Linked DNA regions of Schizosaccharomyces pombe. Changing the gene in region 4 together with the main gene of any one other region gives a genetic interaction. Each region holds a gene or a part of one and is shown on either strand. Other genes may lie near its edges.

What was found.
Region 1: mutations in spf30 (region 4) and msy1 together harm fitness more than expected from each alone (negative genetic interaction), as found in Schizosaccharomyces pombe (one large-scale study listed by BioGRID).
Region 2: mutations in spf30 (region 4) and tcg1 together harm fitness more than expected from each alone (negative genetic interaction), as found in Schizosaccharomyces pombe (one large-scale study listed by BioGRID).
Region 3: mutations in spf30 (region 4) and dep1 together harm fitness more than expected from each alone (negative genetic interaction), as found in Schizosaccharomyces pombe (one large-scale study listed by BioGRID).

What each region holds. Positions count from the first base shown.
Region 1 is NC_003421.2:616,842-623,774, forward strand, and holds msy1 (MS ion channel protein 1), read left to right. Parts: upstream 1-2,006; 5' UTR 2,007-3,182; coding exon 3,183-6,218; 3' UTR 6,219-6,381; downstream 6,382-6,933. Other genes in the region: transporter mug73, read right to left, coding at 6,766-6,933.
Region 2 is NC_003423.3:213,535-217,455, forward strand, and holds tcg1 (single-stranded telomeric-binding protein Tgc1), read left to right. Parts: upstream 1-1,564; 5' UTR 1,565-1,609; coding exon 1,610-1,821; intron 1,822-1,987; exon of another isoform or gene 1,988-2,071; coding exon 2,072-2,273; exon of another isoform or gene 2,274-2,326; coding exon 2,327-2,962; 3' UTR 2,963-3,367; downstream 3,368-3,921. Other genes in the region: mef2 (mitochondrial translation elongation factor G), read left to right, coding at 1-1,365; ergothioneine biosynthesis methyltransferase Egt2, read right to left, coding at 3,467-3,921. UniProt on the Schizosaccharomyces pombe protein: Binds single-stranded telomeric sequences of the type (TG[1-3])n in vitro. Has a role in meiosis.
Region 3 is NC_003423.3:3,798,648-3,802,814, reverse strand, and holds dep1 (Rpd3L histone deacetylase complex subunit, Sds3-like family protein Dep1), read left to right. Parts: upstream 1-1,665; 5' UTR 1,666-1,808; coding exon 1,809-3,284; 3' UTR 3,285-3,630; downstream 3,631-4,167. Other genes in the region: cqd1 (ABC1 kinase family protein ), read right to left, coding at 1-618; vps1301 (lipid transfer protein), read left to right, coding at 4,112-4,133. UniProt on the Schizosaccharomyces pombe protein: Component of the RPD3C(L) histone deacetylase complex (HDAC) responsible for the deacetylation of lysine residues on the N-terminal part of the core histones (H2A, H2B, H3 and H4).
Region 4 is NC_003421.2:1,381,507-1,385,288, reverse strand, and holds spf30 (splicing factor Spf30), read left to right. Parts: upstream 1-1,744; 5' UTR 1,745-1,863; coding exon 1,864-2,799; 3' UTR 2,800-3,234; downstream 3,235-3,782. Other genes in the region: chaperone EMC4, read left to right, coding at 676-1,257. UniProt on the Schizosaccharomyces pombe protein: Involved in spliceosome assembly.

The DNA.
Region 1 (6,933 bases), 760 kb from region 4:
GTGAAAGCGCGCCCTGTCTCTAAGAAATATGTTTGCTGCTTTGCTTGTCAACTTTGTACGGTATAGTGCATTTTCCTATCACTACAAAGGGTTTAAATACAATTTATAATTATAAACTTTTGCAGTGTTGAAAACAGCAGTTCTTAGACTGATCACCAAAAACATCTATTGGAATTAGAAACCTTGGATAGTAATTTTAAACGAATCGATTCGTGCCTTTTTTTGGTTTATTTTTAATTTATACAACTTTTTTCAATGTTTATTATATAGTGCACGGCGTAATAATACGTATTGTGATTAAAACCAATACATCCTTATCCGACAGTGAAATAAGACGTCGCGTCTACTCAATGCGAACCTGCGCATAACGACAGGCACTATGATCTTTTGCATTAATTCCTCTACTTGTAGGATGAGGACATTTTCAACTATTTTAGGAAGAAAATGAAATTGATATCATCGATCATTTTCGCGCATCTAAAAGGAATGAAAGCCAAAAACTTGCTGGCACGGAATTACGGTTATAATGATGTTCAATTTGACCAGATCAGGTTTTTGCAGGAATTAAATTTTCCTTACTTTCAAAATAGTGATTTTTGTAAATCATTTTATTCCTCTTCACTTCTCTCATTCTGTTCTTCTATCCAGCTCAGTCATCTTAAGACATTGTTTACCAAATAGTGAAGTTTACTGTGTAGTAAGCAAGGATTCGAAAATCACTCTCATTATCGCTATAGTAATGAGTTCGAAAGTTTATCAACCTCTGTGTACGGCCTGGATTACAGGCGAAATTGGGTAGAGAAAAATTTCAATAAACAATGTTGCAGTTTTGCAATCCGCTTTGATTAAAAAATTCAAATTTCAGTTTCCAAGTAGATTAGATAATTCGACAATTTTCTTGTTCTTACTCGAAATGTTAACTACAAACATTGCAAGCTGCCTATGGTCCAGTCCATACTTCCATCGTCCATTCCCTTTCACACTTTATACTTGTCTGCACTAGTCTCAACTCTATGCTGCGTTCCTCTTTTCCCTAGCATTGCATCAAGCTCGGATTATTTTTACAACCTTTCTAAGTCTACGTCTACGTCTACATCTGTATCCATATCTCAATTTACGTCGTCCTTCGCCGCCCGTCATATTACTCTGCTCCATCATCTCGTCCCTTCCCTTCCCTTTCCGCTTTAACCCTAACCAGGAAAATTGTGAAACCGATGGATCGCTCGTCGCTGTGTACTTTGATGTGATTTCATAAACCACCAAACCCTTCCACCGGATCTGTTAAAACCGGTCAAAACACAGTAGAAATGCTGTTGACTTGCTATAAGAAAAAGTGAAAAGGCAAACCACTGGAGAAACGAATCCTCAAGAAAACTAGGTATAAGCATAATTTAATGGAATAAGCATATTTCTTGGGTACCACTTGTCCATCATTTTCATCTATTTATTGTTACTTTTGGATCCGGGTCGTTGGACATGGCAAGATCGCCGTAACCAGATTAGGAATAGAGTTATTCGCTACTCATAGCTCGGCGATAAAGCAAAAGAGAAGAGAAAATGCTGGAGCTAACACACAGGATGCAAATAACAAGAGCAGATATCGTTGCGAGGCAAGTCATGGGAAGTCATCTTGGATGATGTGCAAGTCTCCGATAATAGACCCACTTCATTAGAAAAGCTCATTTTTTGACCCTTCTAGATGAGATAGCTTTAGCATTCATATTACTTATTTTTTTGGTTTCATCTTTTTTTTTGTTTTATCTTATCCTCTTTACCATCCTTCCCTCCCTCCCTCCTTCTCTTTCCTTTTTCTACACACTCGGCTGCGTTACTGTACCCTATGTGTCTCCGACGATCCTACGCAATTGCTACTTTAATGAGCTCGCTTGTGATTCGCTTTTCCTGAATTGCAAATTTTTCCTGCTTCTCCCTTTCCCATCTTTGCGTGCAATGACATCATAATGCTGTCCAATATATAAGAAAGCTACATCTATTTTGAGCCACCTGCAGATAACCAACGTGTTGAATTTTTATACATTCAACCACCAATTCTTGTCCTATTTCACCAGTAGAAAGATATATCGAAATTCTCCCCCCTAGTTTTGAGATTTTCTTTTTCTCTTAAACCTCTACTGGTGAAGAAAAAAATTGTACTTTCTTCACATTCTTAGCTCTGTGTTCTTGGCGCTTTATTTGTGATATTCAGTACGGTTTATTTGTTTATATCTCGCATTTCATTCCAACTTTAAACATCTAAAACGTTCGACTCTCATTCCTTTTTATTTTTTTGTCTTTTCCCGGTCGTTGTTGATTTTTTTCGGTTTTGTTGAGTGAATTGGAATCGCGGCTTCAATAAAAGATAATCATCACTTTTCAGCTTGTTTTCAGTACTCTTTGTGAAATTTCTTTGTAGTACTTTTCAACGCTTTTTTTTTCCTTTTATATTTTTTTCTATATCTAAACTCAACTCTAAAGACCGGTTTGCGGCGTTTTGCTTCTTGTGCTAACAATTTTACATTTAAACAACTTGATCTTTTTCAAACATTCTCTTTCTACAATCTTTACTCATCTTGTCTTATACACACTGTTGGTTGCATACTGAATGGTTGATAGGTTGTTTCATTAGTTCTGTTTCATCTGTTGCCATTGTTAATCTTATACTAAATTTGTCCAAGCAATAAAAAATAAAAGTATTTTTTACAGTTCTTTGTTGTTGGGGTCTTTTTGCGGTTTTACTTTCAAAAATTTTTTCCTTAGAGTTAAATTGTTTATCTCACGATTGATTATTTGACCTCATTTGTCAACCACATCCCCATTCCAAGCTATCTATTTTAAACATTTAGAATCTCTTTTTTTTTTAGGTACCCAAGTTATCGACTTTTTTGTTTTTCCTCTCATTTTTAGTTCCTTCCTTGTACTTGTGTTTAATCATTACTCATCCTTGGATTTCTGCATTTTATTGACGTTTGGTCAAGTTTTCTATTTATTCCCTCTTGTGTATTTTTTCTTTTCCTCTGGACGATAGTTTCTTCTCATTCCTTTCATCATATTCCCTATTCCTGGTAACTCAAATCAATTCATCCTTGTCTGTTTTTCTTTTCCCTTTTTCATTTAAACCTTTTCAGACAGTTTCTTATTTTTTAAATTCTTCATACTTACGGTTTTCGCTCGCTCCTTTAATCATGTCTTCTCCTACTTCTCCTACTTCTAGTCCTGGTCGCCATCATTGGTCAAACTCGAAAGACGGTATGCCGCCAGAGTATACTAATCAGGATCCCAATTCTGATCAAGCTGATAACGAAAACTCTGATGCCAAGGCTCACCAACCTCAGCATTCTCCCCAGCATTCTACAGAAAATCAAGGTCATACTGGGACTAGTGATACTTCGTCCCTGGAAATGGAACTATCAAAGTTGCACCCAGAATCCAAACAAAGGCAGTTGCCGCACTCTCCTGAACATGAGCGATCTCGATCGCCTATTGCTTCTGTCGTCTCATATCGCTCGCACATGACTTTGGAAGATGAAAATCAGATTTTTAATGCCGAAATGGCTGTCCGTGGTTCTCAGTCTTTGCAAAGACGTCCTACCGGCCGAAGTGTTCGCGGATCTATGCGACGCCTTTCTTCCCATCGTTCTAAATCCATGCGTACCTCCAAGTCTAAAAAGTCGGGCGATTATGAACGTACTGCGGAGAATGAAGAAGCCGCTCAAGAGGCTGAGAATCATTTAGACAACTTTGGTGTAGTGACGTTTGGTACTGAAGCTCCTATTAAGGCTCCGGACCATCCTGTAACTATTTTTGGTCGCATATTCAAATTTATTCAACAGCGAAGCTTTTACCTTCGTTCGCTCATTTACATTATTCCTCTCGGGGTTTTACTCTTGATTCCAGTATTCATTGGTCGCTTTTATCACCCACAACCTCCTTACCGTGATGAACTAGGTCATGAATATGAGCGCCATTTACACGTTGGAGGTGTTGATTTGATGTGGATGGCCATCTGGTGGGAAATTATATGGCTCTCTATATGGGCTGCTCGCTATGCTGCCAAAGTAATTCCTTATTTCTTTGCCTTCTTCGTCTCCTTCATCAGTAACAACGTTACTAAATGGAGATGCATGGCAGTTGCCCTTGAGTTTCCTATTACATTGTTCCTTTGGATGTTAGCTGTATATGTCAGTTTCCTTCCCATTATGACCCGCCGTCATATTGGTGATTATGGTGTACCTGATCATGTACGCGTAAAACTCCCTTGGCAACAGAGCGCCAACAATGTACTTATCACTTTATTCATCACCTCAATTATGAATTTGGTGGAGAAAGTACTTATGCAGTTGATCGCCATGTCGCTTCACCGTCGTGAATATGAATCTAGAATCCTTTACAATAAGTTTGCTATTAATGAACTCGCCCGTTTGTATGGATATGCGCGACAGCGTTCTTTTGATTTCAAAGATGCTATCCATCGTGCTCAAGCAGATGTTTTTAAGTTTGCTGATCACCAACATGGCAAGAAGCGCGCAGCAGCTGCTCGGGTTGCTCAGAATGCATTGAATAAAACCACTTACAAAGCTATCTCTGCATTCAACTTCGCTACGGATATGGTTAACAAAGTGGCTGGTGAGATTACTAATCGTGAGGTCGAAAAATCTTCTTCTCCTAAAAGTGTTGTGCTACACTTGTTAAAGACCACACGCGGTTGTCAATCTCTAGCTCGTTGCTTATTTGAGGCATTGGTGAATCCTGAGAATCCCGATTTAGTACTGGATGATTTTATTCCCGTATACACCGATGAAACTGGTGAAGTGGATAATGCCACCTTAGAGGCATGTTATTCTATTTTTGATCGTGATCTAAATGGTGATATCACCTGTGAAGAAATTGAACTCGCATGTGTGGAAATTGGAAAAGAGCGTAAGAGCATTTCTGCTTCACTTCGTGACTTGAACGATTCCATTTCTAAGCTTGATGGTATTTGCATGTTTATAGTGGCTGTCATTACTCTTTTTATTTTCTTATACTTGATTGCCCGTAACTTTAGCGGTGTACTTACCTCTGCTGGAACTACTTTGCTAGGTTTGTCTTGGCTGTTCTCCGGCTCCGCACAGGAATTACTTAGTTCTATTATATTCGTATTTGTGAAACATCCTTACGATGTGGGCGATCGTGTCGATGTCATGATCAATGGCACAGTCACTTCAGCGATGGTCAAGGAAATTTCCATCATGTCTACCGAGTTTCGTCTATTGACTGGAAAAGTCATTCAAGCTCCAAACAGTTTGCTGAACACCCTTTGGATTTTGAACATGCGTCGTAGTGATGGCATTGCTGACCCAGTCACCGTTAACCTGAAGTTTGGAACTACTCTTCAGCAAATTGAACAACTGCGAATCAAAATTATTGATTTTTTGAAAGAAGAGAAGCGTGATTATAAACCTGACTTACTAACTGAAGTTACGGATTTACCGGATCTCTATTCCATGTCTTTGTGTGTTGTATTCTTTCATAAATATAACTTTCAAGACGAGGTTTTACGTATGCGTCGAAGAAATATGTTTATGTGTGCATTGATGACTTATATGCAGGAATTGGATATTGTATCTCCTATTTTCAACAGCCCTGGTAAATCAAAGGATTCACCTATGTATGTCAACTTCAACAATGGTTCAATGGAGGGTGTTAAGTTATCTGGTGGTAATGATGGTGGTGGTACTGAAAATCATCGCGACAGCACTGTTGGCGGAGGAATTCTGAAGAACCCAAAAGCATATCCTTACCGCGAACCTACTCCTCCTGGTAGTTCAGATTCCGATACCGCTAGTGTTTCTAAAAAGCGTGTTGACTTTTCCCTTGGAACACGGCATCTGATGCCTGCTTTTGATGATGTTGCTGATATTGGAAGTAAAAGGCTTGGTCGTGATAGTCTTCCCGATGCTGTCATTGAAAACGCTGGCACAGAGGCCATGCGACGCGAAGCTGAGGAACGTCGCCGAGCCGAAGAGGAAGAGTACGAACGTTCTCAACAAGAATCTAGTTCGAATGAAGAAAACGAAAATGCATCGCGTACGTCAGGTGCTCGTTTTAGCTTTTCCTCTAAAGCTAGTCGTTTGTCGGCTAGACCCAGTGCTCGTACAGTTCCTCCGTTGCAGCATATATCAATTCAAGACTTACGTGAGCCAAACGAAAATAATACTTCTAAGTCTGCTCGACTTTAAATACCCATAACACTTTGCAAACTTGCATCGCTCATGCTAGTTTTACTTACTTCATTCGTTGAAAGTGGCTATTTACCATTTTGGGCACTATTTGTTTCTTTTTTTTAGTTTTTATTTATTATTCTATGAAATGTTTAAACGTATATTGTATCTCAACAGCAAATTTTTGTATTAATATTAGCTATGCCTTGTAAAGTTTCGTAAAAGTTATGCAAATGATTTACGAATAATCTTAAACTAAAACTAGTATAATGCTTTTTTCACGTAAACAATGACTCACCGTCGTAAATTTAGACGTTTCAAGTGCGAATGAACGTTAATAATTGTTCAAAGGTTTCGTTTTTATAATAATTATTTCGTTTTCATAATCGTAATTTTTCACGAAAAAGTGTTTGTGTTTTAGAATGCCAACGAAATTCTCGTAGCGAAACTTCGAGTTTGTTTTAAACATTCAGGAAACAAATAATGATTAAAAAACAAAAAAAAAAAAAACGGAAGGTAAATTTCTATAACTAAGCAAAGATAACTGCAACGATGCGTACTGTTATTAGCAATTATTTTTCGTAGGTGAAGAAGGTAAATTGGAAATTTGAATGCGAGTTTCAACGGCCAAATCATCAGCTTGGTTTTGTGCCTCCATGTCCGGACACATTGAAAACTTGTCATCAGCAGGACTGCATGCCCCTAAGGGTATCGATTGAGGCGATTTAAAGTT
Region 2 (3,921 bases), on a different chromosome or scaffold from region 4:
AATGAAGGGACTTTAAGCCGAGGAATGATGATGTTTAATCCAAGAACTAAAAAGTCAGAAAGAGCAATTCGTTTATACAATGTATTCGCTGACCAGACTCAAGAAGTTGATTGCATTTCCGCTGGAAACATAGGAGTGATTAGTGGGATTAAACAATTTCATACCGGAGATATCATTATTAATAAAGAGAACTCAAAAAATTTTCATGAGTACCTTTCTGGAAATCAAAGTGTTATCAGTATTCCTGAACCTGTTTGCATTGCTTCTATAGAACCTTATTCGCTAAAAGATGAACCCGCACTTTTAGAAGCATTGGCTAACATGAATCGTGAAGATCCTTCATTTAGATATACCCAAGATTTAGAGAATGGACAACTATTGATACAAGGGATGGGCATTATGCATTTACAAGTTTCTTATGAAAGACTGGTGTCTGAATTTGGAGCTCGAGCATCTTTAGGAAAAGTTCAAGTTGGTTATCGTGAAACTTTGATTGATGTAAGCTTTAATTCAGTTACCTTAAGCACAGAAAATAAAGAGAATCTCATTATTAATGTTTACTTAATCCCTATTTCTGATGAAGGAGATGAAACCTTGAAAAAATATTTTTCTGAAGGTGAGATCCAAAAAGTTCGAAGTAAAGGGCAAGAAGATGGAGTTTTGTTTTATGGCTGGAAGCCGGAAAACTCGTGTACTTTACCGGATCATCTCTCTTTCCAACGTATTCAAGAAAACATCTACTTTGGAATAGTTGCAGGTCTATCGCATGGGCCTTTACATGGGTTTCCTCTCACGAATTTGCAGTCATTTTGTACCATTTCTTCTTTTCTATCTAATGACTTTCCGTTGTCACTTTTGACACAAGCATCGATGAAAGCTACCAAAAATGCAGTATTTTCATTATACAAGAGAAGTCCCAAAAGTTTCAGAATATTAGAACCTTATATGGATGTTACAATTACAACTCCTGAAGAATATGTTGGTATTGTTTCTAAAGATCTTGTAGGCAAGCGGGGAGCCACGATCAAAGAAATTACAGAGATTGGAAAGAATGCTGCTTCGAAAGACTCGCAGATAGCGATAGGAATATTAGGTGAAAGATATCTACCAGCTGATGAACCTAGTTCTGTTAAAGCAAACAATGCTTCTTCTCTACTACAGAGTTCATCTGTCATTAAATGTATTCGTGCTCAGGTGCCTTTGGAGCAGATTCTCGACTACAACAGTGTTATAAGCTCTTTAACAAAAGGTAATGCAAAATTTCTTATGTCTCATCCTATGGAATCTCAAACTCCCAAGCTGGTCAATTACGGTTCTTCCTTTCATCCTATGTCTATGCAGAGACAAAAACGAATATTTCCTTAAGGTCAGAAATGTGGGTTAATGGGTAAAATAAATACATAGAAAAAAAGATATAATTCTATTTTTCTATAAAAATCATCCTTATCATTAAAAAGCTGTATGTTTGACATTCTTTTTCTATACGTTTCGGTGTATGCATACACACACGTCTGCAACGGAGTTGTGTACATGTTGTCCCCAACGTCAGATGGAACCTACCGTTAGCATATATCGACTATAATTACTACAAAACGCCTAGACGAATTTAATGATGTCCGCTGAGGAAACTGTAACCCAAAACGCTCCTAATACTGTTCAAGATCAAGTTGAAGCATCTGTAGATGCTGCTGTACATGCATCTGCAGAACAATCTAACACACCTGCTCAACAAGCGGACGACTTTCGTGTTTTTGTAGGGCGTTTAAGTACGTCTACCAAAAAGAGTGAAATCCGTTCATTGTTTGAAACGGTTGGTACTGTGTATGTAAACTATTACTGGTTTTAGCAATTTCGAGTTAGAACAAAATTTTCTTATGTTTAAGCGCTAAAGCTAAAGCTCTCTCTATTAAAATCAGTGCATAATTTGGAGTTGTTGAAAATTTACTTTTTAGAAGTCATACTTTATATTTTTCACAAAAACGATTTTAAAACGGAGCTATGCGAGCTTATATTTACTCGAAACTATCTGTGCTACTTTAATTATATTTGATCATCTACTAATGCTTTTTAGTCGTAAAGTAACTATTCCTTTTCGTCGTGTTCGCCGTGGTACCCGTCTCGTACCTTCTGGCATTGCTTTTGTTACATTCAACAATCAGGAGGATGTTGACAAAGCTATAGAGACATTGAATGGTAAAACATTGGATGATCGCGAGATTGTTGTTCAAAAAGCTCGTCCTGTCCAAGAGCAACCTATAAAAGATAGGAAAAAGGTAAGTATACTTTAGTTCGCAAAGCTTTTATCAATATCATTCTGACACATTAGTCAAAAAATAAAAATGGTGAAGAACCTGAAACTTCAACTTCTGTCGAAAATGCTGAATCTGCTAAGGGCTCCAGTGATGAAAATGAAGCTAATACCGCAACAGCTCCTTCAAGTAATGAAGCAAATGGTGTCGATAAGAAACAAAATGAGATCAAAGGAAAGGGTGGGTCTGGTAAAAACAAGGCTAAGCCTTTGCCTCCCAACTCTATTTATGTTTCAGGCCTCTCCGTTACTTTAACAAATGAAGGCCTTAAAGAAATGTTCGATGCTTACAATCCTACTCGTGCTCGTATTGCTGTTCGTTCCCTTCCTCCTTATATTATTCGCCGTATAAAATTACGTGGTGAGCAACGTCGTGGTCGTGGTTTTGGATTTGTGTCTTTTGCTAATGCTGAGGATCAATCCAGAGCTATTGAGGAAATGAATGGAAAGCAAGTAGGTGACCTTACTTTGGTTGTTAAAAGTGCTGTCTTCCGTGAAGATAAGCAAAATGATGAAAATGAAAAAAATGAAAACGAACCTATTGAGGCTTCAGAATCTGCTCCCACTAACGTGTCTGATTCTACTGAGCCCAAAGCATCTGAGGTTGACTCAGAAGAAAAATCAGGCGTTACTGCTAGTGCTATAACTGCCTAAAAGTTAAAATATGATTTGTGATTATTCCTGGCTCTTCGTTCCTTTTATAATGAGCCTCGCCATTATACTTATATATGTCCCGAATACCCTCATGTTTCCGCACGTCACGTTCTCTCCCTTAGCATGGAACCCATGCATGTTCCTGGTAAAAAGTTGCAGCTTTGTAGACTAGACTATATTCATTGCTTGGAGTTCTGTGCCTTATATATTTTCCGTTTGTATCAAAAATACATTCGGGCCTATTGTTAAAAATAGTTTTGCATCTTTGTACATTTGAAACGTTAAAGTGCTTCAAGTAAAAATATACATTTTCTTCCAAAATTGTGAACGTTGTAATAATTGATTCACGCAAAATATAAGTAACTAGTTAAACGAATGTTATAGGCTTCTTAAGATTTAGAATCTATTGTGCTGCAATGTCTAAAACACAGGTGAGTATTAAATAACTTAAGTGCTTTGAGTCACATAAAAAGAGTCAGAGGATGCATTGTGAAGCATAGTTATTCAAAGAGAGCAGAAGTCTTTAATAACTTTAGCAATATAATAGAAATCTGATTCTTCTAAATACACCGCACCGCTAAGTCTAGTGTAAAATTTTCCTTTAAATTCCATAAATCGAAGGAATGTATTATATTTAGGCCAAAATACTTTCTGTGTTTCTATGGAGGGAATGTTGCGTAAGGGAACTTCGACGTTTACCATTGCAACTGGGTATGGAGGTTTGATAAAGGAAGTGCCCAGTTCTTTAGAAATAATTTCGGCTCCCTTTAAAGCTATTTCATGACAATATTGTTGAATCTTTTCTTCCCCTCCAATGGATTTTCGAAACTTAATAGCCTCACCAACAGCTATAAACTTAGGTAAATCTTGCTTGAAAGAATTGACAAACCGATTGGTAAGAGTATCTACGGCAATTGATTCCTTTTCTCTTAATCCATAACCGTATGAGAGAGGAAGTG
Region 3 (4,167 bases), on a different chromosome or scaffold from region 4:
TCCTGCTCTTTCTAATTGAGTAACGAGGAAACGAAGCCAAATGGATACGGTTAAAGACGACAAAGATCGAAGATGCAGGAAAGAAATAAGAGCGATAAACGGTAAGGTAATAATAATTGGAGAGAAAATAATAAATAAATTAAATGACCTGAGGAGAATATTAAAAAATTGTTTTATTTTTCCAAAAATAGAACGAGGTCGATTGCTTCTCTCTTCTAATTCAAGTTCGTCAAAGGAGAAAATATTATTCTTTCGATTTTTGACTCTGTATAAAATCCATAATCCTCCGACCGTAAAAGGGAGGACAAGAAATGTAATCCTTAGTATCCTCCATTGCTTCTGGTCTTCACTTTTTTGTCGGGTTGTAAACTTTCTTGCAAATATAGGTTTGGGGAATAAAGATATATGCTTCAATCGATTAACCAGTACGTGCTTTTTTTTGTATGGTGACCAAACTGACTGTGTCCCGCATAACCTTTTCCATCTTGTGTTCTGCGAGTTAACGACAGGAATATAATTTCTTTGAATAATGAAAGCAAAACGAGAGTTTGCAGAAGGAATCATGCTTAGACTAAGTCCCGAACGTATGTGAGAATTCCAGTGAGAAAAACTAATCATGTTCACCAATTATTGACTTTCAGAAGAGCATTTCCTTATCAAGAATCAAAAAAATAAATAAACTAATTACAATGGGTATTTTCGATTGAAAACACTGGCAAACCTGATAAAGAAAATAGGAATTGTTCAATAAATGTGTATAGCAGCTACTAAAAGAGGTGTTTCAAAGAATTTAGGAAACCCTGTCAACCTTTAATATCTTGAAAATAAAGAATGCACCAGTTCAAAAATATTGCTCAAATTTACGTGTCACTAGTGTCTATTGGTGTCAACGTCGAATGACGCTGTCTACTTGTGACTGGGAGAAAGAAAAATAATAATTGTTAGCCAAAATGAAGACTGTAATAATAATCAATTCTTTCATTTTATAAATAAAATATTGACTAATTAATGCTCAGTTCCTATTTGGATTCTATAGAATTGAACTTACAGTATGATAAACTGGATATGATCATCTAGTACGTGAAGAAACATTTTTTTATTCATTATTACCAATAAAATGTAATTTATCAAAATTTCAAAGTTCTAATTGAAGGGAAGATTATTAAAATATAAAAAATGACTGATTATAGGAATCACATTTTTTTTCCTTATACACCTATAATCGGTAATATTCAAATAAGTTAAATAATCAGTTCATGGTAGTATTCTGCTGCCAAAGAGAGATAATTGTAAAATCGCTAGCAGTTGATAAAATAAAGTATAAATTGAAATTAAAATGGAATTGTTTGTACTGAATTAAAAAGCTTTACCATCATTACTTCAATTGCCGTTAACTCAGAGACTAGCATAGAGTTTATCTATAGAGACTCTTTGATTGATTTAATAAAAAGCCTTTGATCGACGATGGTTCATTCGCCAAGTTTCATTGATGAGTAACAGTTGACTGAGAATATTTCACCTAACCCATTCTTGATAAAAGTATAAATTGGAAGTGCTAATTTAGAACAAATTATTAAGTTCTTGGCTCAAAATTTTGAGATGTCCCTACAGGATGTGTAAAAGTTGAGTATGAATATTATTACTGATGCCCAGCTATCAAATGTCATCCTCTCCCCAACACTACCAATTCATTCGAAAACATACATATTGAATGAAAACACACGAAAATCAACGATACTGTTTTTTAGATTCTGACATTTGTAAATTACGAGAGGGTATTTTGAACGAAGTTGAAGAATTAATTCAGGATGACCGAAAATTTGCAGTCGGAATCAATTCCCCATGAAATACTCCCTAAGGAGCCTTTTGATTTACCAATGAACAACTTAAAAAGCTCTCCTAAAAATAAAGATTCAGAGAAACGAATAAATAATTCGATCGCTGAAAGTGAGCAGGTTGTTGATTCGGCTCTATCTAATCCAGAGACCAATGCTAATGAGGATATTATCGCACCTCAATTGCCTTCTCAAAATTCTGAAATCATTGAAAAAAACTCGCCAGTGAACAAACTGAACAGTTCCACGTCCCTCACAACTCATCAGTTAGCGTCACTTCCTAAATTAGAGGTAACAGATCATGATAATGTATCTGAGGCAGAAACTGTAGTCTTAAATGAAGATGAAGAGAAAGAAACATCTTTAGTTGGTTCGGTATCAGTCACTGAGGACTTAGGTGACTCAAGTGCAATTGGCAGAACCATACTGGTAAACAACTCTGTGGAACCTCAGATGGAAAACACAGCAAATATAACCATTGTTAGTCCTTCATTGAAGGAATCTGACTTTGAGTCTGAAGAAAAAGCTACCAATGACAACAATGGACTCATAGAGACTAACCACAACTCGAAACTTGAGGAGTCTTCTGAGCATGAGGAGGAAGAAGACGAAGAGTCGAATATTGAAAGAACCGAAGATTCTGACCACCAGATACCACAAAGAGGTGGAACTTTAGAAGCACCCAGAAAAGGTGGTCCTCGAAGTGGCGTTGGAAGTCGAAAGCGTAAACGTGCAACAGTTTCTCGAAAATGGTCTACTAACAGTGAGAGCAAAATAAAAAGGGTAGCTCTTGAGACCAGCCAAGAGGAATCCGATCGTGAGATTGCAGATCGTCGTTCCGCATCTGAACAGGCTCATGAAGCTGACGATGAAAAGGCTATAAAACGGAAAGAAGCGTTTGATGCTTTGCTAAATATAGAAACGGAGTTTACTTTTTTACGAAACCGTTTATATGGGAAGAAACTGTTAAAGCTGAACGAGCATGAGGAAATGATACAAAACGAAACCCATGAGCGTTTTAATGCCTGCATTGATCTTATAACAGAGCGGCGAGATGATCGTGTGCGTTTAGCTACTGAAAACCTCATGAAACAACTTGGGAATATAAAAAACGTAATGGACTATGTAACGAAACAGAGGAAGTATCAGTTACTGTTTGATAAAAGAAGAATACGACAAGCGCTTCTAACCAAAATTGCAACGAAGTGCTTTCAGCTTTTAAACAAACAAAAATCTGTTCACGATCCCACATATATTACTCAAAAAACCATGTCATATCGCCAAAGTGCCTTGTTACAGAAGCAACGAATTGAATATGAAGCTGCAGTTTTGTGTGAGCTTAATAGTTTTGCTGGGTTTCCGACAGCACCTATTATCGAAACAGCTTCTTTTGATGACATCCGCAACGACCTTTTAGAAATGGGATGCCTCAGTGAAAATCAAGACTAATTTCAAGCATCCTCATTCCCCGCGATAATTCCTAATTTCCTTCACGTTTTACTTCAATTTTGACACACAATTTCCTTTTTGGTACGGTGTCAAGAGTGTTTTTTTTTTTTCAGAGCCTAGTTAAAACTCTTGCCTTTCGTTATCTATTCTAATGTATTTTCTTTTTTTTTTTTTTTTTTTCTAAGCGATAATATAACACATTCGCTCTTCGTTTGTTTCATTTTCTTTAGAATTTACATATTCGGTTAATATTTTTAATTCAGTATTTGTTTCTGACTTAACTAATGAATTAATTTTACAGCGATTCTTTAAGTTTGTAACAGCTATCCGTCTTACTCATTTTGCCTTATAATAAATTTGCTTATGAACAATTAAGTATGTTTAAATTTGATAATAATCATGTGCTTCGCAATCAAAACTAGTTAAGCAAAGTATCCTACTTATCGTTCGATAAAGCTGACTTGTTGACGCATTCAATGGTGTGGCACTTAGCGCCGTAAACAAGTCCTATGTACATTTGAAGGATTTTAATTTAACTGATTTAATAAAAAAAAAAGATTTAGTTTGTTCAAATAAGTAAAGTAATACTCCTTTCACTTAGACTCAATCCGTTTGATGATAAAAAGGTGCGTTATACGGAAATGAAGTTTCCTCTTCTCATAATCGTTTTCTTTTTATATTGAATAATTTTGTTAAATGTATAAATGGAATAAAAAGATTTTCTTTTTCAACAAAACATTCCTCTATTCGCAATTGCATTGCTAACTTTCACCAAGTCGGATGCCAACTGCCTTTTACCTAATTTCAGTGTCAAAGAGCCAACAAACATGTTAGAAGGCCTAGTTGCCGGTATGAATTATACCTTTTTTTGAAAGACATTGAT
Region 4 (3,782 bases):
AAAGAGTCAGAACTTTTTCAAGATCAAGATCCTATATCCATAAAAGAAACCAAAACTAATTCCAGCTGTAATCAATAATGATCGTTGGGTTTGATAATTAACAAGAAATCATTAACATTAGATGTTTAAGCGTTGTACATATTCATATCCGGGCCATGAGACAGTAGAAAACCAAAGAAAGCACAAAAGCAAGTTAATCTTGAACTTTTATAACAGGATGGCTTTCTTTTTGCCATTGTTTGCGCTTGTATTTTTGGGATTCATTAGCTGATGGGCTTTTCACTATTACCACCAGTTTCGTTCCTTAGCATCTGCCACCTCCACTATATTGTTTATTTTGAAATATTATATTTTGAGGCGTGTTCTCAAATTATTTAGACCAGAAAATTTTTAACTTCAACCAAAGTTATTAATTTGCTTGAAAAGATTGTTCTACCACCCAACTTACATCAAATAACGAAAAACTGAGATTGACTTCTGGTGAAATATCTTGTTTCAGAAACATCAAATAAGGCTGGTCTTCGTATTTTAGAAACATAATTGAGGTGCTACCAATACTTTTTGACTGTAGGTTAGCTGCAATCAGGCTTTTCATTCATTGACTAAATTTATTCCTTGGTTTACGAGTCCAAAAATTTAGTCGCAACTTTAAATTTCTCTTTTTTCCCTTTCAAGATGCACATTAACGAAGAAACAGATTGGATCGATTTGGTCAAACCAGCGTTAGCAAAGAAGCCCAAAAAGATCGTTGACAATTCTGACAAGTTCCCTACGCCTCGAGGATTTCAACAGAAGTCGTTGGTTTCCAAAAACATTCATTCAGGAAATTCAGCTTCCTCAACTTCCATATTTGCTAAACGAGAGGAAGAATTACAAAAGGATCTCTTACTAAAGAAAGCATGGGAGCTTGCATATTCCCCCCTTAAACAAATTCCTATGAACGCTATTTTAGCATACATGTCTGGTAATTCACTACAAATTTTCAGTATTATGACGACTCTTATGTTGCTTGTAAATCCACTGAAAGCAATAACATCTACAGGATCTGCCTTCACCCCATTTAAAGGCACCCACCCAGGAACCCTTTGGCCCGCTATGGGTGCTTATATTTTATTCCAATTATTGCTTATGGGGATTGGAGTCTATAAGCTGCAAAGAATGGGATTATTGCCAACGACTACCAGCGATTGGCTTGCCTGGGAAGTCTCGAAGGTCTTTATGGATCGATCTTATGGTCCTAGTAAAACTGTTTTGTAAGAATTTCATTTACTCCAAAATTTTAAAGATATACGAGTGAAATCGTTAAATTATAGTACCTCCTAATGCCATTGCTTCTAGCTGACCTAGAAAATAATAAATTCATATAAAGAAGGAATGCTTGGAGTTCGGAAACATATTGTCTTCTGGATTAATAATTTATCCTCCATTATGCGGCATTAAACGTTCAATGCCTTTAATCGATATCATGCACGCCATAAACGAACCTCGAAAATACTTGATTATCCAGTTCTTTTTACCCATCCATAGTTTTCGAGAGCATGAAATTTTTGATAGAATACTTTCTTTTACGTCTTGATTATACTGAATATAGAAATATCAAATATTCTTCTTTGTTTTAACTATTATCAATAATGTCTTAGTATATTGAGTTAAAGAATTAGTGCTTTTAGTATAAATTTAATCTCACTCCAATATTGTTTTCTTCACCCTAGTGTAATAGCTGAGCTTAATTTTCAGGCACTTCACTGAGCGCCTGCTTCACATATTATCTACACTTACAACCGGTTTTGGCGATAAAGCCATTACACTTGGAAATTTTTACTGTTTGAAAAAAAAATCTATTAAATCTATAAAAGTAATCGTATGGAGAAGGAATTAGAGGAATACAAGAGCCAGCTTGCTCTCGTTCAAATTTCTCTTCAGAAGACTCCCCAAAACGAGGAATTACAGTTACTGGAAAATGATTTAAAGGAATTAATTAGCCTTACTGAAAACTTACTACAAGAAAGTGTAGAAAATGATAAAAATACGTTTCAAAATTCCCAAAATGGTGTTGCAGGTTTCAATACTTCAAAGCCAGTACATATCGACTTTACGCCTGGAAATTTAGTAATGGCCCGATGGGTTTCAGGAGATTATTTATTTTATCCTTCACGTATTACTGCTGTTTCAGGCTTCGGTGCAAACAAAAAGTACACAGTACAATTTCTTGACTATCCTGACATTGAAACTGTTTCCCTCAAACATATTAAGGCCATGCCTGAGGAAAAACGTCAGGAAATAGAAGGAAATAAAGAAATTCTCAAAAAATCTACCACTATACGTAGTACACCTGTTAGAGAGCCTACAAAAGCAATATCTGTAGCATCTATGTCTACAAGTCCTTCCAATTATGCGTCTCGTGCCTCTTCTCCAGATATGAAGAGTTCGGCGGCTGTAACGGCTAACGTATCTCCGATCCAAAATGTCGCTCAGCATGTTTCAACCCTACCAAAGATCTCTCCCATTCCTCCCTCTAACCCTCCACCTGTTCCTAGTGTTTCATACTCCCAAAAGCAGCAAAAACAACTAAAACCTAAAGCAGCACTTGAAGCATCACAAAATTCTTGGAAACAGTTTGCTGCTCGAGGTGTAAAAACTGGACGCGTTGGCAAACGAAAGAAGATTGGAGAATCTAGTATATTTAAAAGCACTGAAGATTTTCCTGGAAGGACAAACCCTAAAAATTTTGGAAATGTTGCGAGGTCTGGGCATCGCGAAAAGCACATCTATAATTATAGAGAAGACGAAGATAGCTGAGCAATGTGTCTTCATTTGAAACTTGGTATTTAATTAATAGGCTTTTAACAGCCGCTGTTTATGTTTTCATTTATATATTTTTTGGTGCAATAAGCATAAATAAGCTTTTTACAGATCTTTAACCTAATTTCTGATGAAGCTGTCCTGGTTTTCCATATTTAACAAATTGTTCGTCGCATTGTCTACAGCTATAAAACAATTCTTTTGTTGTTGTTGGTGTATACATTAGAGAGGAATGAGTAATTAGAAAAGAATTATTACCTTTCGCATCTTAAGAATTTAACAGCCATAGACTACTTTTTTATATTCACATCTGCATACGGTTTTATGAATAGCATCATTACTATTTTCTGATGCGAAATAGTCATTTCGTTCTTAAACAATAGATCCATTTCCCGTGACATTTGCTAATTGTATTCCACCAAAATTTGACTTCTTAGTTTACAATAGTTGGTGAAAGTAAATCGGTGGTGGTACTATCTTGTCTCGCCATGCTCTTTTAAATAACGGCAACTTATGTTTTTAATAGCATTGTTACATGATAAACTGAAATATTCTATTTGTCATTCGTATTCTATAAGAGGTATATAAAGCCGTATATGTTGAGGGATCATCCACAGACAGCAATGAAAACTAGCTCCTCTAATATACTAGTATTACAAAAAATCTAATTGTATGAAAGAAATCGGTAAGCATACAAAGGGCGGATAGATTTAATTTTGTTTTAATGGAAACATGTAACACTTATCATAAAATGTAGATACTATGCTAATTGAAATTTATAATGCAATTTATGTATGACCAAGTGATATTCCCTTAAATAAAGCTTAGATATAACACATTCTCGTCAGCAAAGCCAAATGCCAACGGAAACTAGATAAGAATAGTAACAAGGATATGAGGAAGTTAAATAAGGTGGATATAGAATATAATGAAACATAACTTGAAGTATTCATTTAAAAGACCTGATGCTCAACAAGACC